4 linked regions of the Drosophila melanogaster genome follow. The protein of the gene in region 3 purifies or fractionates together with the protein of the main gene of each other region. This does not show direct contact. Each region holds a gene or a part of one and is shown on either strand. Other genes may lie near its edges. The genes, in order: ATPsynF, ATPsyndelta, ATPsynO and ATPsynE.

Region 1 (2,839 bases), on a different chromosome or scaffold from region 3:
AATGCCTCACTGACCTGTTCAAACTCCTCGGAGTTCACTGGTAGTCTGGCCCACATCGCATCCGAACACAGAACCAGTTTATTGGCCCAATGGCTAGTGGAATTCAACAGGAAATCACAGTCTCTGGCAGAAGGTAATGTCTATCTGGCCTATGTGGGTTTGGCCTACAACAGCTCAACGTCATTGAGCCCACTGGACTTCAGGAACTCCCAAGGGGAGAGCTTGCAGTGCTTTCTTTACAGAGCCTGGGATGGTGGTCATCCTCGAGTTGGGTAGGCTGACAGTTTATTAGGTTAGCCGCCAATGCTATCTTCTCTAAATCTAACCGAATTTGCAGTGGTGATCTGGGCAACGCCAGCTGCGTGGCCTTGACGCCGCAGGGAACCTGGCAAACCCTGAACTGCGACCGGGAGCTGCCCTTTATCTGCGAAATCCACACGGCCCGGTCAACTTTCGGCTGGGAGCAGTCCAGTTCCGAGCTGGACATCGGCCCAAATGCAGTCTTCGAGTGCGGAAGAGACCGAGTCTGAGTCTATGGCAGCATGGATATTCGCAGCCGTTTTATTCACTTAAGCAGTTTTCAAAACACAAAAGCCAAATAGATATAGTTTAGTGGTGATTGCCCGCCTCTCGCACGCCTTGTGGAAAGTGTAGAATCTGTTGCAGATGCAGGACCACCGGGCAGCGCCGCTTAGTGGTACTTGTAGTTCCTGTGGTGCTTCAACTTGGTGTAGTTAATCAGATAGAAGAACGTCATGCTGGCGACGGTCAGCTGGAAGAAGGGAGCGATCCCGGCGCGCTTTGGGAACACGTACTTGTGCTGCCAGCGCCACCAGGCACGGCTCACAGCTCCGGCCACAGCGTTGGGGGTCTTGTTGCGGCGTCCCAGCCAGGCGCCGATCTCGCCCAGCTTGACCTGGCCGAAGGGCACATCGGCTGCGGATCGGAGAGAGCGGAGAGGTCGGAAAGTTGTTTAAATTATGTAAAACGCTGCACATTTTTGGGCAGTGCAAATGTGCTCTGTGCCTGCCGCAAAAATTACGTAACCTGCTCACCTTTGCCGTAGAAGCGAGCGGGGTCGTAGGGCCCGTGCACCTTGGGGTTGTACTCAGCTGGATAGTCACCGAATGCCATCGCGCTGGTTTGGTTGAGATATATTCTTAAATCGGATTCTTATGAAACATAAAATTACGCCTGCTACTTACTTCCTTCGATACTGACAGTATGACCAAAGCGGCGAGAGCTGGGATTTTCATCGACCAATATACCGAAATATACTATGTGCGAATTTATTGTGTGCGTCTCCGCTAACAGGGAGGATGTATTCGCTACGTCATCGATACAGCGAATATATCGATGCCCGATGCACGATGCACTTCTCACATCACTAAGCTCCAGTATATACAGAAATCAAATAGGATTTTTGCAAGCCTGGGCATTCGAATCAGAATCCAGCCAAAGCGAATCCAGTGTGTAAACAAAAACAATGAAACTGGAGGAGTTGCTGACCAAGGGAGCCTCCTCTCCGCCGGAGGACGACGACGAGGACGAGAAGGTGGAGCTGAAGCCGCAGAAGTCAAGCAGCGCCACCGCGGACGAGGGGGCGGAGAACGCGGAGGATGCGGCCGAGGATGCTGGCGAGAAGGAAGGCGCGGGTGGCAAGAAGAAGGGCACGCGCAAGAAACGCTCCCTTAACTGGGAGGAGGCGGAAAGGGGGCTGCTCCTTGAGGTCATCAAGTCCAAGGTGGCCTTCGTGGAGAACCGGAGCGTGGACGCCAAGAGCATAAAGGCCAAGCGTCTGGCCTGGTCGCAGATCACCAAGCAGTAAGTTGCGCCATTGGGCAGTGGAGCTCGTCTTATAATGGCCCTTCACTCCTTCCATTCCAACCCCCCATCCAGGTTCAATGCCCTTAACTTCCGCCATCGCCTGCTGGAGCAGATCCAGGTGCAGTGGCGCAGCATGAAGAACTCCGCCAAGCGGGAGCACCAGCAGAAGCATCCGAAAACGGAGGCCCTGGAAGGCATGCGGATGATCGAGTTCCTGGAGGAGATGCAGAAGGATCCGGTCACCTCGCGCAGTCAGACACGCAGCGCGAACACAAACGGCGCTCTTAAGAAGGAGCTCATGGACATCGACGAGGACGAAGACATGCCGCTGGCCGCTCTGCCCAACTCTACGAACGCCAGCGAGGACACGCTGCAGACCTCCACAATAGCCATCCCCTCGCCGCCGCCCTCCACTGCTGGCGGAGACGGGGACTCCCAGCAGGAGGGAAATCCCGCCCAGCTGCCAGCCCAGCGACGCAAGCGGACCAAGGCCAAGCAGTCGCCCTCGGGCGCCAAGACAGAAACGTCCGGCGAAACGGGGGAGGAGAACGAAAAGGGCGTAGGCCCACCACGAAAGCGGCGACAAAGGAATGTGAGTTTGAACACAAGCCGCAAGTTTATTTATTATTATTAATTAAGGTTTAGCTGAACAAGTTGCAAATTTTTGTGAAGGGGAATCTTAATCTTTCTTACTAATAATACTATCTCATCGTTAACCAGCTCTCACAGGCCCAGTCGCTGCTGTCCGACGAGAACGAAGCCTCCACCAACGCAGCTCCGAGCGCCACCCCAGTTGCAGACACAAATAGCCAGTCCTTAGATTTGGTCGCCGCCACGGAGATAGAGCAGAAGTACAAGCAGGACCTGTTTAGGCTGCTCAAGCAGGCCCGTCTGGCCGAAATCGACTACGCCCGGCGGGAACACGAGCAGAAGCTGCGCTTCGAGCAGATGGAGCAGGAGGTGAAGATGGCCTACTACCGGCAGGAGCAGGACCTCAAGCTGCGGCACATGC
Region 2 (6,865 bases), on a different chromosome or scaffold from region 3:
TGTATGTATGTAGTTTCTCAACAGATGCATTCCATGCATGGATCAATTAACAAACCATAATAGACCGCGACAAGATCATAATCACGATTAGTGGCAGAGTGCAGGTTAGCCAACCATTTCTTGGATATTACTTGATTTCCCACCAATCTGATCTGCCCACTGAAAATCTCTTTTTTTTTTGGTATAAATTAATACGTTTCTTAACCGAAAAGCATAACCAATTTGAACAATTTGATAGTATTTTATAAAATTGTTATAAACTGAGTAGAAATATGATTCTAAATGGATATATATATATATGCACATCAGTTGATTATGTTGAATATTTGTGTAAATAAACATATGTTTATTGTTGTAAGTATGTAATACTTAGTGGCTATTTAAAATGCGCCAACAGATATCACTGATCCGAACCGTTGGCCAATTTTACAACATCTTTGGCCTATTGGGCCAACATAATGCGTTTTACATGGCTCGAAGATGCGACTGGTGGCTTGCATAATAATCGGCTCGTTTTATAAATACCTGCATATAGATGGAATATAGCCACCATCAATGAGATGGTTCGGCTTGACAACAGATTCCGATTCAGATTCACCTTGAAATTGCCGGATGAGGTGAAATGGAATGGGTTGGTTTGGTTTCGATTGGATTGGATTGGGTTGGGTTGGGTTAGGTTTTCGCTTTGGTTTATGACAGACTGCCGGCCGCCTTGTGAGGCAACCGCTTTGCAGCACGCCCGTGTATGCAAATTGAATTGACCAAAATCCAAAATCCAAATCGAAATCAAAATCAAAATGAAAACGAAAACCTAAACCATAAAACATAAGATGCCGAATAAAAAAAAAAATACGAAATATGAAAGCCCCATTCCGAGCTTATCACTAACGTAGCGTCTCATTTTCATGCTAATTGTGGGATCCCCATTCGGAATTTGGGAAATGCAGCGTAAGACTTGATGAAACTGAAACTGGTAGCTGGTAGCTGGTAGCTGGTAGCTGGTAGCTGGTAGCTGGTAGCTCCGAATCCAACTGGCTATGGAAGAACCAACCACGACGATTGGCACTTTTGGGTGCGTCCAGCAGCATTTGGTGAAAATCGAAATGAAAACGAAAGCCCATCATCATGATGCTGCTCATCATCGTGGCGATGATGATGATGGCGTTGATGGGCAGTTTGGAAATGTTAATGAAACGCCTTTTGTTCGCCCTTGCTGGCTTATATCGTATAAAAGACTTGGTCTCCAATCGATCGGACATCAGTCGCTTGCTCATCGGCACTCAAGGCGTTTTTTTTTTTTTGGAATTGGTATCATCGCATCAAGTGGATTAGTAGTCAGCATGAAGGTGAGCTGCTCACAATGTCCTGTGCCGGCAAATATCCTCTTCTAGTTTTTTTTTTTTTATTTATCCAAACTGATTTGAAAAGTGACAAAGTGGCAAGAGCATCCTGAGCTCAGTTTAAATTCTTTCGAACTTTCGAAGAAGTGATAGTTAATATTCAAATACAAAGTGTGCTGAAGAATATCAGAAGATTGAAAATGAAAATATTTAAACAAAGAATGAATACAAAGTATATCCATTTGGAAAATACAGTCTATGAAGATCAAAGATCCTTTAAAGATATAGAAAAAAAAACCAGCGATAAAACTCTACTTTCTAATTGGAAAACATAACAAAAACTTAATGAACTTTATATATTCTTTAAAATCCTCTAAGGATGCAACATGAAACATGAAACTAAATCGCTTCTTATACTCTGCCATCCTTCCAGGTCTTCGTTTGCATGTGTGCTCTGTTCGCTGTGGCCAACGCTGGCTTCCTGGGACTCCTCGGCGGTGGCGGCGGTGGAGGCGGTGGTGGCGGCCTTAACCTCGGAGGCGGTGGTGGCAACGGAGGCGGCGGCGGTGGTAGTGGCGCTCGCGGCTATGGCGGCCATGGACCCAGTGGCCCAGTCCAGGTGGTCAAGGTGATCCATCAGCAGGGCGGCGTTGGCTACTCCTCCGGCGCTAGCTATGGCAGCGGCTATGGCTACGAGGCGGCTCCCCAGATCTTCAAGGTGAAGGTCATCTCTGGCGGCAGCGGCGGTGGCTATGGACCCGCTCCTGGACCCGCTTATCTGCCTCCAGCTGGGCCCGCCCCCTCCTCCGTCAAGGTGATCAAGATCCTGCAGGAATCCGCACCCATTGTGAGTGCCCCGCTGGTCGAGAGCGCTCCGCAGATTGTCAAGGTGGTGAATGTGGCATCTGGACCCGTGGCTGGACCATCCTTCATCGGCGGCTCTTCGGTTGGCGGCGGTGCCGTGTCCCAGGTCATCAAGGTCGTTCACGAGAGCCACGACAGCGGCATCTCGTCGGGTGGCTACTCGTCGGGTGGCTACTCCTCCGGTGGTTACTCTTCGGGTGGAGCCACCAAGGTGGTGCGTGTGATCCATGAGCACTCCGCTCCAGCTGCCGGTCCAGCCTATGCCCCCATCGATGTGCCCGCACCAGTGGCTGCTCCAGTCGCTTCCTACCTGCCTCCTCAGGAGATCGCTGCTCCGGCTCCAGTTTATGCTGCTCCAGCTCCGGCTCCAGTTTATGCTGCTCCTGCTCCCGCTCCTGTGTACTCCGCACCTGCTCCCGCTCCAGTGTACTCCGCTCCTGCCCCAGCTCCTGTGTACTCTGCTCCTGCTCCCGCTCCAGTGTACTCCGCACCTGCTCCCGCTCCAGCTTACTCCGCTCCTGCTCCCGCTCCAGTTTACTCCGCTCCTGCCCCAGCTCCAGTCTATGCCGCCCCAGCACCCGCTCCCGTCCTGAGTGTGCCACATCCCGCTCCTGCACCCGTTTTTGCTCCCGAGGAGCAGTCCCTGCCCATCGGTCACGCCCCTGCCCAGACCTACGGCCCACCGGGATACTAGAACAATTCGCCAATCTATCGGAGGACCTTCCTGCTAACTACATCGACAGCATATTACCATTCCCACACAACGCCATGAGTTAATTTAAGACATTTTTTTTACAACACATTTTTTTGTTACCAAATACATAGACAATTCCAAAAAAAAAAAATCCAATTTTCTTTTTTCAATTCTATAGTATTTATCATCTTTATAAAGAGTTTCAAAATGGATTATCTTCTATCTGCCAAAAGTATAATTTTAGCCATTGATTAATTCTTGTTTCCATAAAAAAAAAACAAAGTTGCTTTTTATTACTACTTTTGAGAGAAATTTAAACAATCATCCGAGATAAGATATGCGAACTATCCATGAATGCAACACACCAGATGAAATACAAACTATACTATTTGTTAAGATGAAAGACGAGCTCATTTACAAATTGTAAGTTTTTATGCTTATGCGATTTGCATAAATTGGCAAGGGAAAAAGAAACGACGTTCGTCTCTTTCGGCCAAAATGCAAATCACTCATATTTTTGACTTAAAGATTGCCAAAGCATTATCATATCAACGGTCTATCCCACAGCGAGCAAATATTACACATTTCTCTTCACCAGCTCACATACATATATTATAAACTATATAAACACACAGTTTAGCGGCATAACATGAAAAAAAAAAGAAAAAAAAATCATTTGCCTGGTGGATCACGGGTCATTAATACGATATTATGATTCGCTTTTTTATTGTTTCATAACTCTCTGGCTTTTTAAGGTGATCGTTATGTTTTTTATTTATTTCAGACACAAAGCATCGATTGTGGTTTATTGGTGGCGGTTGTGTGGTGATTACGTCTATTCGGCAGCCTTGACTAACGCTTCGGCGACCTCCACGGCAATGGCAGCCTGGGCCTTGGCCTGCAAAACAAGGATCGTGGTTAAGTCTCGTTTAGATAGCTTCAGAATGTGCAATACAGAATGCAAAAGCAACTCAAACATAAGTTTACTCATGGAAATATCGAATGTGTAAGCGTTAATTTAAGAGCAAACTTGTTTGTACAAAGAAAGTATATCAAGTAAAAAGGATGGGCACATAGAAATCGTTTAGTAACTTAAATGCCAGTTGGCGTGAATGGTGGAAGCAGTGTTTCCATCAAAAGAGTCTGTTTGAGTTGTACTTTCTGGACCACTACTTCTACTTTCTAGACACTACTCTACTATGCAACTTCTTGACTAGATTCGCACCTTGTCGTCGCCAGCGGAGCTAAGCTGTGACTGGTATTTCGCGAGCAGCTGGCGCGCCTCATTGGCATCGATGTCCTCGATGTTGTGGGCCTCCTCGGCCAGAACCTGAACGGAGGAATCCTCGTTGACGGTGACGGAACCGCTGGAGACGAAGAACTTGAGGGTCTTGCCATCGTTTTCCACCACCTGGACAACGCCGGGCTTCAGGACAGCTGCAATAGCAAAGAGATTCGCCAACGGTGATATAACCATCTCGAGGCAACTGAAACTGAATGATCGAACTTACCCAGAGTGGGCACGTGCTTGGCCAGGATGCCGAAGGATCCCGAGAAGGAAGGCACATCGATTTGGCGCACCACAGCGGCATCGTAGAAGGTTTTGTTGGCGGCGGCGAAGGTCAGCTTCATCTCATCCGAGTAGCTGCGGTTCTGGGCCAAGCGAGCGCCGCGGGCGGCCAGCAAACGGGCGTTCTTAACGAAGGACATTTTGGGCTGCAACGAGAGGATAAATTCAGGATTAAAAGTCTTTTCTGCCACAGCCAGCCAGCATAACAACAAAATAACCAAATTATGTAACTTTGTAGGTTAGGCGGCGGCTGCTATTGCGTTTCCCCAGCTCAAATTTCGATCGCTTTTCATTGCAAATCCTCGGGCACTGTGATCAGTGGACTACCCCTCAATTTATCAGTTATTTTCACCTGTTTTTATTTCGGTTTGATAGCGAAAAACACGAGAAAACTTCAGTGATCAGCCGCTGTTTTTGCGAAAAACGTTTAAGTCAGAGTGACCAGCCGGGAATACAAAACTTATCTAGCAATAACGCGTTTTTACGATATTTAGAGGACAAGACAAAATACAAAATTTTCAATACGCAACAGGCTCTTACAAAATAAAAAGTGCAATCATTTCACACATAATAATTAAGTGTTTTAATTATAATAATAAAGTGCCTCAATCAATAAACAAATTATATAGACCAATAAACTTTTAGTGGCAACACTTATTCTTTTAATTCATTAGTCTGGCATCGCCAATTAAAAGCTTAAATTTTTTGTATATTGCTTTTGATCGTACATTAAAAATGATATTAAAAGAAAAACTATTTATTCCAAAAATTATAATTTAAAAAATGAAATTTCCTTTATTAGATTAAGACTTTGATTAATAACGGTGTGTTTACATGGCATAACCATGCGACCATTTATACTGTTATGAATCTGGTGTTTTTGATTTTGTTTAGTTTCTTTTTCAGTATTTCCTTTTTTATTAGATCCTTTTATTAAAGTTCGGAGTTTTTTCGTATCTCACGAATCTTTTACCCGCGCAACATTCAAAACTGGCGTTAGCGACTATTTTTAGCCACCGCGCTACCTGGTCACACTGGCACAGGCAGCACAACAACAAATTCCAATTGGAAATAGAAACGAAACAATGCAGATTGCTGCATTATTATACAAGTGAAGAAGAAGAGAGTGCCATTTTCGGCTGCTATTTGTGCACGTCTCTGTGACTGTGTGTGAGTGTGTGCGTGTCGCGTGTGTGCTCTGCGCTGAGGTGTTTGTTGGCGAACGACAGCGAAAGGCGACAAGCAAACAAACAAACAAACAAAACACACAGGACGTAAGTGCTTGCAACATTTACCCAAGTTTGTCACCCACTCGCGCCCTCTCTGTCGCACCTGCAGGCGAAACGCAGTTGCGAAAAACAACAGTGTTTCCCCATGTTTGTGTTTGTGTGCATAGATAGCTGTCTATATATTTTTCGCTCTGCTTATTTTCTATTTTGTTTTGTTATATCTTCTATTTTGCTTGGCTCTTCGTGTATGTGTATAGGTGTCTTAGCAAATTGCGCCTTTCAGTTGGAAAAACTCTGCAAAAAATAGAAACAGAAAGCTTGCCTTAAAGTTCATTCCTCACACACACAGCTGACTTTGTTGTGGAAAAAGGGTGTGAAGAAGAGAAGGATTTTCTGCTTTTTGTTTGTTGCACACATACAGGCCCGCATACACATGTGAACGAGCAGCTGTAGCGCGCATGTGTATGTGTTTGTGTATTTTTGTTTACCTCTCTCTCCGCCGTCACACTCTCACTCACTCTCTTCTCCGCTGTCTTGCCCTCTGCCTGCGTCGCGGTCGCCAGTGGCGTCGCAACGCAATATATTTCATGTTATTTCTGATAAGAGAACTAACCGCAATCGGTCTATATAAACATATATACAACAGATCCGATCCTTAGCTATTGACCCCAAGCTATAGCGGTGCGAGCGGAACGGCAACATCGCAAAGAAGCAGCGGCATAAGACAACAACAATGTTGGGTCGTTGCTCCTCTTTTTGCTTCTTCGCTTTCATCTTCTGCTCCTTTTGTTTTTTGTTACGGTACTTTTAGATACTTCGAAAAGTGTATACCCTTCGTACTATCTGATTCAGGCAAAATTATATGTAGGTTTTCTTGTCATCCGATCTTTATGATTAGTTGTCAATCTCAACTAATTAAGAATAAAACAAATAATTAAAAACCCATAATAATTCTCAAAAGTAATGTTCAGCTTAGTGAAGTAAATGACATTCTACTTGCGTTTTAAAATTTGTTTTCTAATTAGTTCGTTTTGTTTTTTGGAACCAATGCCCCAAACAATACCCTACCTTCTGGTCAAATAAAAACAAATACATAGCAAGCGGTGAGAAACAACGCAAAAGTTGACTTTTTGGCTAAGAAGAAGAAGCCGCAGACGAAGAACAAACA
Region 3 (3,166 bases):
GCTGCACACATGTACAAGAAATTTTCTCTATTCGAGGCATTTTTTCTTGTTCATCTTTGGGCTGCAATGCCGACACCACCGGCTCCCCGCGCATTTTCCCCCTCCCGGAAAAATCGTGCTATCGATATATCCGTCTGGCCGGGAAATACACAACATAGCACAGTTCAAAATGGCTTCAAATCAAAAACCACTGAAATATTTGCTGCCATAATTGAAAAGAAAAGTAGTGCCATAGGGGCCATAAACATGGCTTTCTGCTTGATAGCATGCATCCCCTAGCTAATCCCAACTGCCATATTTGCAGTTTATCAACCACCCGCAAGTATCCGGCATTCTGGACGAGGAGGAGGAGGAGTGCCTGCACGCGCTCAACAAACTTGAGGTTGAGGAGTTTGAGGACATCAAATCGGGTTACCGCATCAACTTCCATTTCGACGAGAATCCTTACTTCGAAAACAAGGTGCTCACCAAAGAGTTCCACCTGAATTCAGCGGGTAAGTTCTCCCAACGATTGATTCAAATCCGCTTAGCTAACCCATTACTATTTCAATTAAAGCTGCTTCCGAGAACGGAGACTGGCCCGCGTCTACCAGCACGCCCATCAAATGGAAGGAGGGAAAGAACCTGCTAAAACTTTTGCTGACAAAGCCGTACGGAAACAAGAAGAAGCGCAACTCCGAATACAAAACCTTCTTCGATTGGTTCTCGGATAACACCGATCCCGTCAACGACGAGATCGCAGAACTGATAAAAGACGACCTTTGGCCAAATCCACTGCAGTATTATCTGGTACCTGATATCGAGGTGGAGCCCGAGGACGAGGAGGACAACGAAGATAATGATGAGGAGGCATTTGACGACGAGGACGGTGAGGATGGAGAAGGCGAGGAAGAGGAAGAGGATGAGGGTAAGCTAATGGAGTGCCTTTTGAACAGAAGGAATTTACTAACCACCTAACCAACCATTTTAGATGACAAGTAAACTGATTAATGCAATTTCAAATCGCTCGCAACCGAAGGCCCACATTGTTTATAACCACTGGCAACTATAGTTTTCCCGATGGTTATGCAACATTTACATATTCGCAACGATTTAAGGACATATTTAGGTTTCGAAATAAGCAAAAGTCATACATCCATTAAAGAGCAGCAGAAAATGAGAATCACCATTAAATTAATTTAAAACAAATAAAAAGACGTAAATCGAATCTCAAGCCGTGTCTTTTTATGTAAGTAAAGAATTACCAAAGTATTCAATTCGATGTTTATAAAATAATTTATTACTTTATTAATTAATATTTATTAATTAATTAATTATTTAATAGCAAATTAGAGGTGTTACTATTAAGGTAGATTTTGGGTACCCAGAAATACCTATCTTTTAATATATCCTTTAAGAATTACTTTAAAGTCAGAATATCATTTTTAAAATGAAAATTCGCTTTTATTTAACTAGCTAGTATAAATCTTAAAATCTAGCTATTTTTTGTAATCGATAACTGTCCTGCAACCCTTACGCCATTCAAAACAACCCTGCCACACGTCGAGTAGCAAGTAACGTAGCCCTGGTCACAGCTGAGATTTTTAGCTGAAAAATTGTCGGGATAAAAACGATGGCCTCTATTAACAAATTGGCACTTTTGGTATGTTATAATGCGAATAAATAGAAAAAAGTGAACAAGCTCCGGTCAATGCCAAGCCATTTTAAGTGCATGTCAAATTTTTATTGCGTTTGCAACCCGCTGTCGCATATGTAGAATTATCTAACGCGCGTTTCTTGGTTATGTAATTTTTGCCCATCTTAACCCACGAACCGCGGGTAGTTTATGTTTAATAAGCCGAAAAACTTACCAAGTGCTCTTGTTTGCTTATCCCGCAGAGCCGCACCCTCAGCTCCGCTGCCGCCCAGGCGACGGTGAAGCCACCAGTGCAGGTGTTCGGTCTGGAGGGTCGCTATGCTACCGCCCTGTATTCGGCTGCCTCCAAGTTGAGCCAGTTGGATCAGGTGGAGAAGGATCTGACGGCCCTGCAGGCCACCATCCGTAGCGACAAGAAGCTGCGCGAGTACGTGACCAGCCCCATCATCAACAAGAAGGTCATGGCCACCGCTCTGAAGGAGGCATCCGAGAAGCTCCGCTTCGCCCCGGCCACCGTCAATCTGTTGGGTCTGCTGGCTGACAACGGACGTCTAAAGAAGCTGGACACCGTGATCAATGCCTACAAGACCATCATGGCCGCACATCGCGGTGAGGTCGTCTGCGAGGTGGTCACCGCCAAGCCCTTGGATGCGTCCCAGAGCAAGCAGCTGGAGGGTGCCCTTAAGGTAGCTACGCCTAGCTTCTGTCTTGTCTCACCCACTCAATTTATTGCTCATTTGCTTTGCAGTCTTTCCTGAAGGGCAACGAGTCTCTGAAGATCACTTCCCGCGTGGACCCCAGCATCATTGGTGGCCTGATCGTTTCCATTGGCGACAAGTACGTCGACATGAGCATTGCCACTAAGGTCAAGCTCTACACCGATGTCATCCAGACCGCTGCCTAGACTCTTAAGGATTTGCTCTTGATTTAGATGGTCAAACTGAAAGTTTGGTATTGGAATTCAAGCGGTAATAGCGAATAAAACACTCTTCACCCTTTGAAAACCAACAAAATTTATTCAGAGATATGCGCACTAGATTTGGTTTATGATTTAGATATATTTTTAGGATCCGGTATATCTGTGCACTGCAGCTCCGCAACCTTGTGCTGGATTGTCTGCTGCAGAAGGCTGTGCTGCTCCAGCAGATTCTCCAGCTCCTTGATGCGAGATCTCTGCAGTTCCAGAACCTTGGTGAAGTTACTCGTGGCCGGGGACTCAAGCCAGTTGATTAGAAAACTATTATGTTGCTCTTTATTATCGTTGGCGTTTTGTTGAGCATCAAAATTACTCTTCGTCTTGCTATCTAGTGTACTCGCATCCTGCCCTGGGTTGGGGCTGCAATCATTCAAAGGACTCTCCTCCAGGACCAGAACATTGGTCTCGTTCGAGGATCGACAAACTCTGTAATTGGGCTTGTCGATTTCCGGGAACACAGCTCGCTCATCATTTTCGGTCAGATCGGACTCTTGAACGCAAATCTCTGGAGGCGGCGCCATGGGACGTTGCTTCGCCGGAGAGCAGCACCCATC
Region 4 (3,003 bases), 940 kb from region 3:
AGGCAGACGTTGAATTCTCCGTGATTTCTAGTTGGGGTTCTGCTGCTGAGAAATCCGCAAAGTCACCGAAGTCATCATCATCTTCTTGCTCTTGCATTTCGGGAACAATTTCTTTGTGTACTAAGTCTTTTGGCGTCGCATCAAGATTTGTAAATGAATATGTATCACTATTTGCTGGTTCACCCCATTGGTGAGGGGATTCCTCCTGATTTGGAGGATTTGATAAGCCACGGCTTTGATTTTCCATAGGCTTTTCTAAGGTATTTGAACTTTCCTCCTGGGCTTCCAAACTTCTAAAGCTTTCTTCTGGCTGGGAGGTATTCTCTACGTATTCTCCTTTCCCTGTATCCACATTCTCCTCCGAAAAGCCTTCTCCATATGGTAGGGTTGGAGTGGCCAATACCTCTATGGCAAAGAAATCCACAGCTCCCTCGCGTATAAATAGTTCTTTGGGCTTCTTTGGCGAGCACTCCTCGTCGCTGTCATCGGACACATCCTCCAGCGTGACTTGGTGGCTGAGGATATGGGCTTTGGTTGTTTGCATAGCCGGCGGAGCAACTGCACTAGTCTCCGCAACCGGTGAGAGTGTGGAGGCGGCAGAAACGCTTTCCGTGGAATAGAGACTTAGACTGTCCAACTTAAGGGAGGGCACATGCTCCTCCAGTTCCTCATCATCCAGTTCCAAGCTCAACGGAGGCGGCGTCGGCGGTGCTGTTTCCTCGAAAACATCGTAATCCATCTTCTGTTTCACCTGGTAATTAAATGCCTCGACGGTTTGTTTGTCTTCCAGCAAATCAGGTGGCTTTTCTCGAAATTCCTCCACGGGATCTGGTGGTGGAGGGGGTTCTAAAAAGCGAGAATTAACTGAGTATCACTTTGAGATTCGATAAATATCTAAGCTTGCCTTTCGAGCTGCTGACTAAGCCAAAATCTGAGTATTCGTCACCCTCGTCCAAATGGATGGTGGATTGTAAACCGGAATCGTCGTCTTCCTCACCAAAATCGATGGGCGGGGGGGTGCTGCAGAGCAGCGGTGGTACATTCACCATAATGCCAGCTGCAAAATTCAGTAAAAGGATCCCCTAAAATTCACTTCCTGCTTCAAGAAGAACAACAAAAACGCTGGGAACGGTTCGATCTTCTATCTCTCTCGCTCCACTTTATCACTGTGTGTGTGGTGTGTATGTGTGACGCAGGTGTGGAGGGCCTGCAAGTGTGTGTGTGTGTGTTAGCCACTCAAGGTCTGTGTTGGAATTTTCTTGTTTGCATTTAACACGCGTCAATTTTGTTGTGTCTCTGTATTATGTCTAATTGTCGCCTTATTGGTGGCTCTAAAAACAGATTTGCCGAATTTGCAAGTCGCGTTTTATCTGCAATTAGCCATGTTTTCCAGAAAACAATACTTTTTCCTCTGCCCACAGTGTGAACGTTTAACTTTTGGCCAACCGACAGTGCTGAAAAACGTTGCGCAACATTGATAACATACAAAATTTGAATCTTATCTTTTTCAATTCCCATTTTCGATTTAAATCATTATCCATAGTTCAGATAGAATAGTTATATTAGTTATATTTCTATAATAGATTTTTATTCTTTCCAATTCTTTTACCGTTAAAATTGTATTTGAAAATTATTAGTAACAAGAGTAAAATATACATGAAAGTCTAGGCTGCAGTATGTAATACGTCAAATTTTGTTGGGACACTAAACAACAAATAGTCGTCATAAAGGCTTCTTTTAAATTGTTATGATATTTTCCACAATTTCTGCATACTTTTTTAAGCTTGCTGGCAACGCCGCCACCGTACCAATACAACTATCGATAGCCGCCTGTCAGTTTTGACAGCTGTTTTAAGGTTATACTGCGCTGCCGTTGCAATCGCTCCACCAATTTGGTAATTTTGCTTATTTAACATCAAATATTGCATAAAACTAGGAAAACCAGGAATCTGTAAAGTGGAGCGAGACGGGGAACGCTATTAAGGAAGTCGGATAACTAAAGTACATCCTTTTCTTGCAGTTCACGGTCGGACAATTACATAACTTGAAGAAGAAACCATGTCGCAGGCTCCCGTTCGCGTTTCCCCGCTGATCAAGTTCGGCAGATGGTCCCTGCTCCTGGTGGGCATTGCCTACGGCGCCGCCCACCAGAGCCGCCTGTCCAAGAAGGAGGAGAAGTTGCGCGAGATCGAGGCACAGCAGAAGGCCGTCCGTGATGCCAAGCTCGCCGAGGAGAAGAAGCGCAGCGCAGAGGCTGAGGCCCGTGCCTTGGCTGAGCTTTCGAAGCCCACTCCCAAGCACTAGGATCCTTCAGGATGCAACATCCGCAGTTCCCTTAGCTTAAAAACATTGAAAAACCACAACATTTACACACGAAGTTCGCCCAAAAGGAGGAGCATCATCGATAGTGGAGCCACCATCTATCGATCACTGACTATCGTTTTTGTGTTTTCCTCTGATGCTTGTGCAAAAAACAGAATGTTCGAAATTAAATGATTGAAACAAAACCATTATGTAAATACTCTCAAGTGTTTCGTGTTTGTGATTAAGTGGTGTTCACTGGAAATATATTTATATTAGCATAGTGTTTGGATAGGAGAGGATTGAGAGAATTTGAGAGGGTTTGAGCTCCAAATTTGACTAGGAAGTACATATAAATATTTTTGCAAATTGATTATCAATAATTTTCCTAAATTTTGTTTTAAATCTTTTTTGATAAACAACAACTGATAGTTTACCTTATTGGATGCCCACTGTAGTTGCCAGCTGATTGGCCCACTTAAGATATTGGCGCCAACAGCTGATTTCAACCGGCGTTTATTTACACTTTCAATTCGCTCGCAAGTCGTCGCATGGCTCGGCTGTTTGATCAATAATCCCCCGGAATACTTCCAATTCCGGAGGTGTTGAGACACCTTTCGTGTTTCGGGGAGCCATTATATCACGCAATCCCATCGAGGACATGCCATCGCATCGCGATGACAAACTTTCTGGATCAATTGC

Evidence for each region.
Region 1: the proteins of ATPsynO (region 3) and ATPsynF purify together in Drosophila melanogaster (affinity purification with mass spectrometry; 2 studies listed by BioGRID, with this or other methods). This does not show direct contact.
Region 2: the proteins of ATPsynO (region 3) and ATPsyndelta purify together in Drosophila melanogaster (affinity purification with mass spectrometry; 2 studies listed by BioGRID, with this or other methods). This does not show direct contact.
Region 4: the proteins of ATPsynO (region 3) and ATPsynE purify together in Drosophila melanogaster (affinity purification with mass spectrometry; 2 studies listed by BioGRID, with this or other methods). This does not show direct contact.

Annotation. Positions count from the first base shown.
Region 1 is NT_033778.4:24,598,562-24,601,400, forward strand, and holds ATPsynF (ATP synthase, subunit F), read right to left. Parts: upstream 1,261-2,839; 5' UTR 1,206-1,260; exon of another isoform or gene 1,139-1,205; 5' UTR 1,135-1,138; coding exon 1,056-1,134; intron 937-1,055; coding exon 692-936; 3' UTR 531-691; downstream 1-530. Other genes in the region: CG13587 (uncharacterized protein), read left to right, coding at 1-272, 338-530; CG3548 (uncharacterized protein), read left to right, coding at 1,487-1,824, 1,900-2,419, 2,548-2,839. UniProt on the Drosophila melanogaster protein: Mitochondrial membrane ATP synthase (F(1)F(0) ATP synthase or Complex V) produces ATP from ADP in the presence of a proton gradient across the membrane which is generated by electron transport complexes of the respiratory chain.
Region 2 is NC_004354.4:10,211,030-10,217,894, reverse strand, and holds ATPsyndelta (ATP synthase, delta subunit), read right to left. Parts: upstream 4,926-6,865; 5' UTR 4,821-4,925; intron 4,615-4,820; 5' UTR 4,609-4,614; coding exon 4,410-4,608; intron 4,336-4,409; coding exon 4,124-4,335; intron 3,797-4,123; coding exon 3,734-3,796; 3' UTR 2,899-3,733; coding exon of another isoform or gene 1,774-2,898; 3' UTR 1,347-1,773; coding exon of another isoform or gene 1,341-1,346; 3' UTR 502-1,340; downstream 1-501. Other genes in the region: CG2962 (uncharacterized protein), read left to right, coding at 1,341-1,346, 1,774-2,898.
Region 3 is NT_033777.3:15,264,049-15,267,214, forward strand, and holds ATPsynO (ATP synthase, oligomycin sensitivity conferring protein), read left to right. Parts: upstream 1-1,542; 5' UTR 1,543-1,612; coding exon 1,613-1,642; intron 1,643-1,878; coding exon 1,879-2,322; intron 2,323-2,384; coding exon 2,385-2,540; 3' UTR 2,541-2,642; downstream 2,643-3,166. Other genes in the region: Set, read left to right, coding at 305-494, 557-907, 971-981; CG14864 (uncharacterized protein), read right to left, coding at 2,681-3,166. UniProt on the Drosophila melanogaster protein: Mitochondrial membrane ATP synthase (F(1)F(0) ATP synthase or Complex V) produces ATP from ADP in the presence of a proton gradient across the membrane which is generated by electron transport complexes of the respiratory chain.
Region 4 is NT_033777.3:14,325,233-14,328,235, forward strand, and holds ATPsynE (ATP synthase, subunit E), read left to right. Parts: upstream 1-1,714; 5' UTR 1,715-1,895; exon of another isoform or gene 1,896-1,951; intron 1,952-2,020; 5' UTR 2,021-2,058; coding exon 2,059-2,304; 3' UTR 2,305-2,503; downstream 2,504-3,003. Other genes in the region: Afti (aftiphilin), read right to left, coding at 1-846, 905-1,049; spn-B (spindle B), read left to right, coding at 2,979-3,003.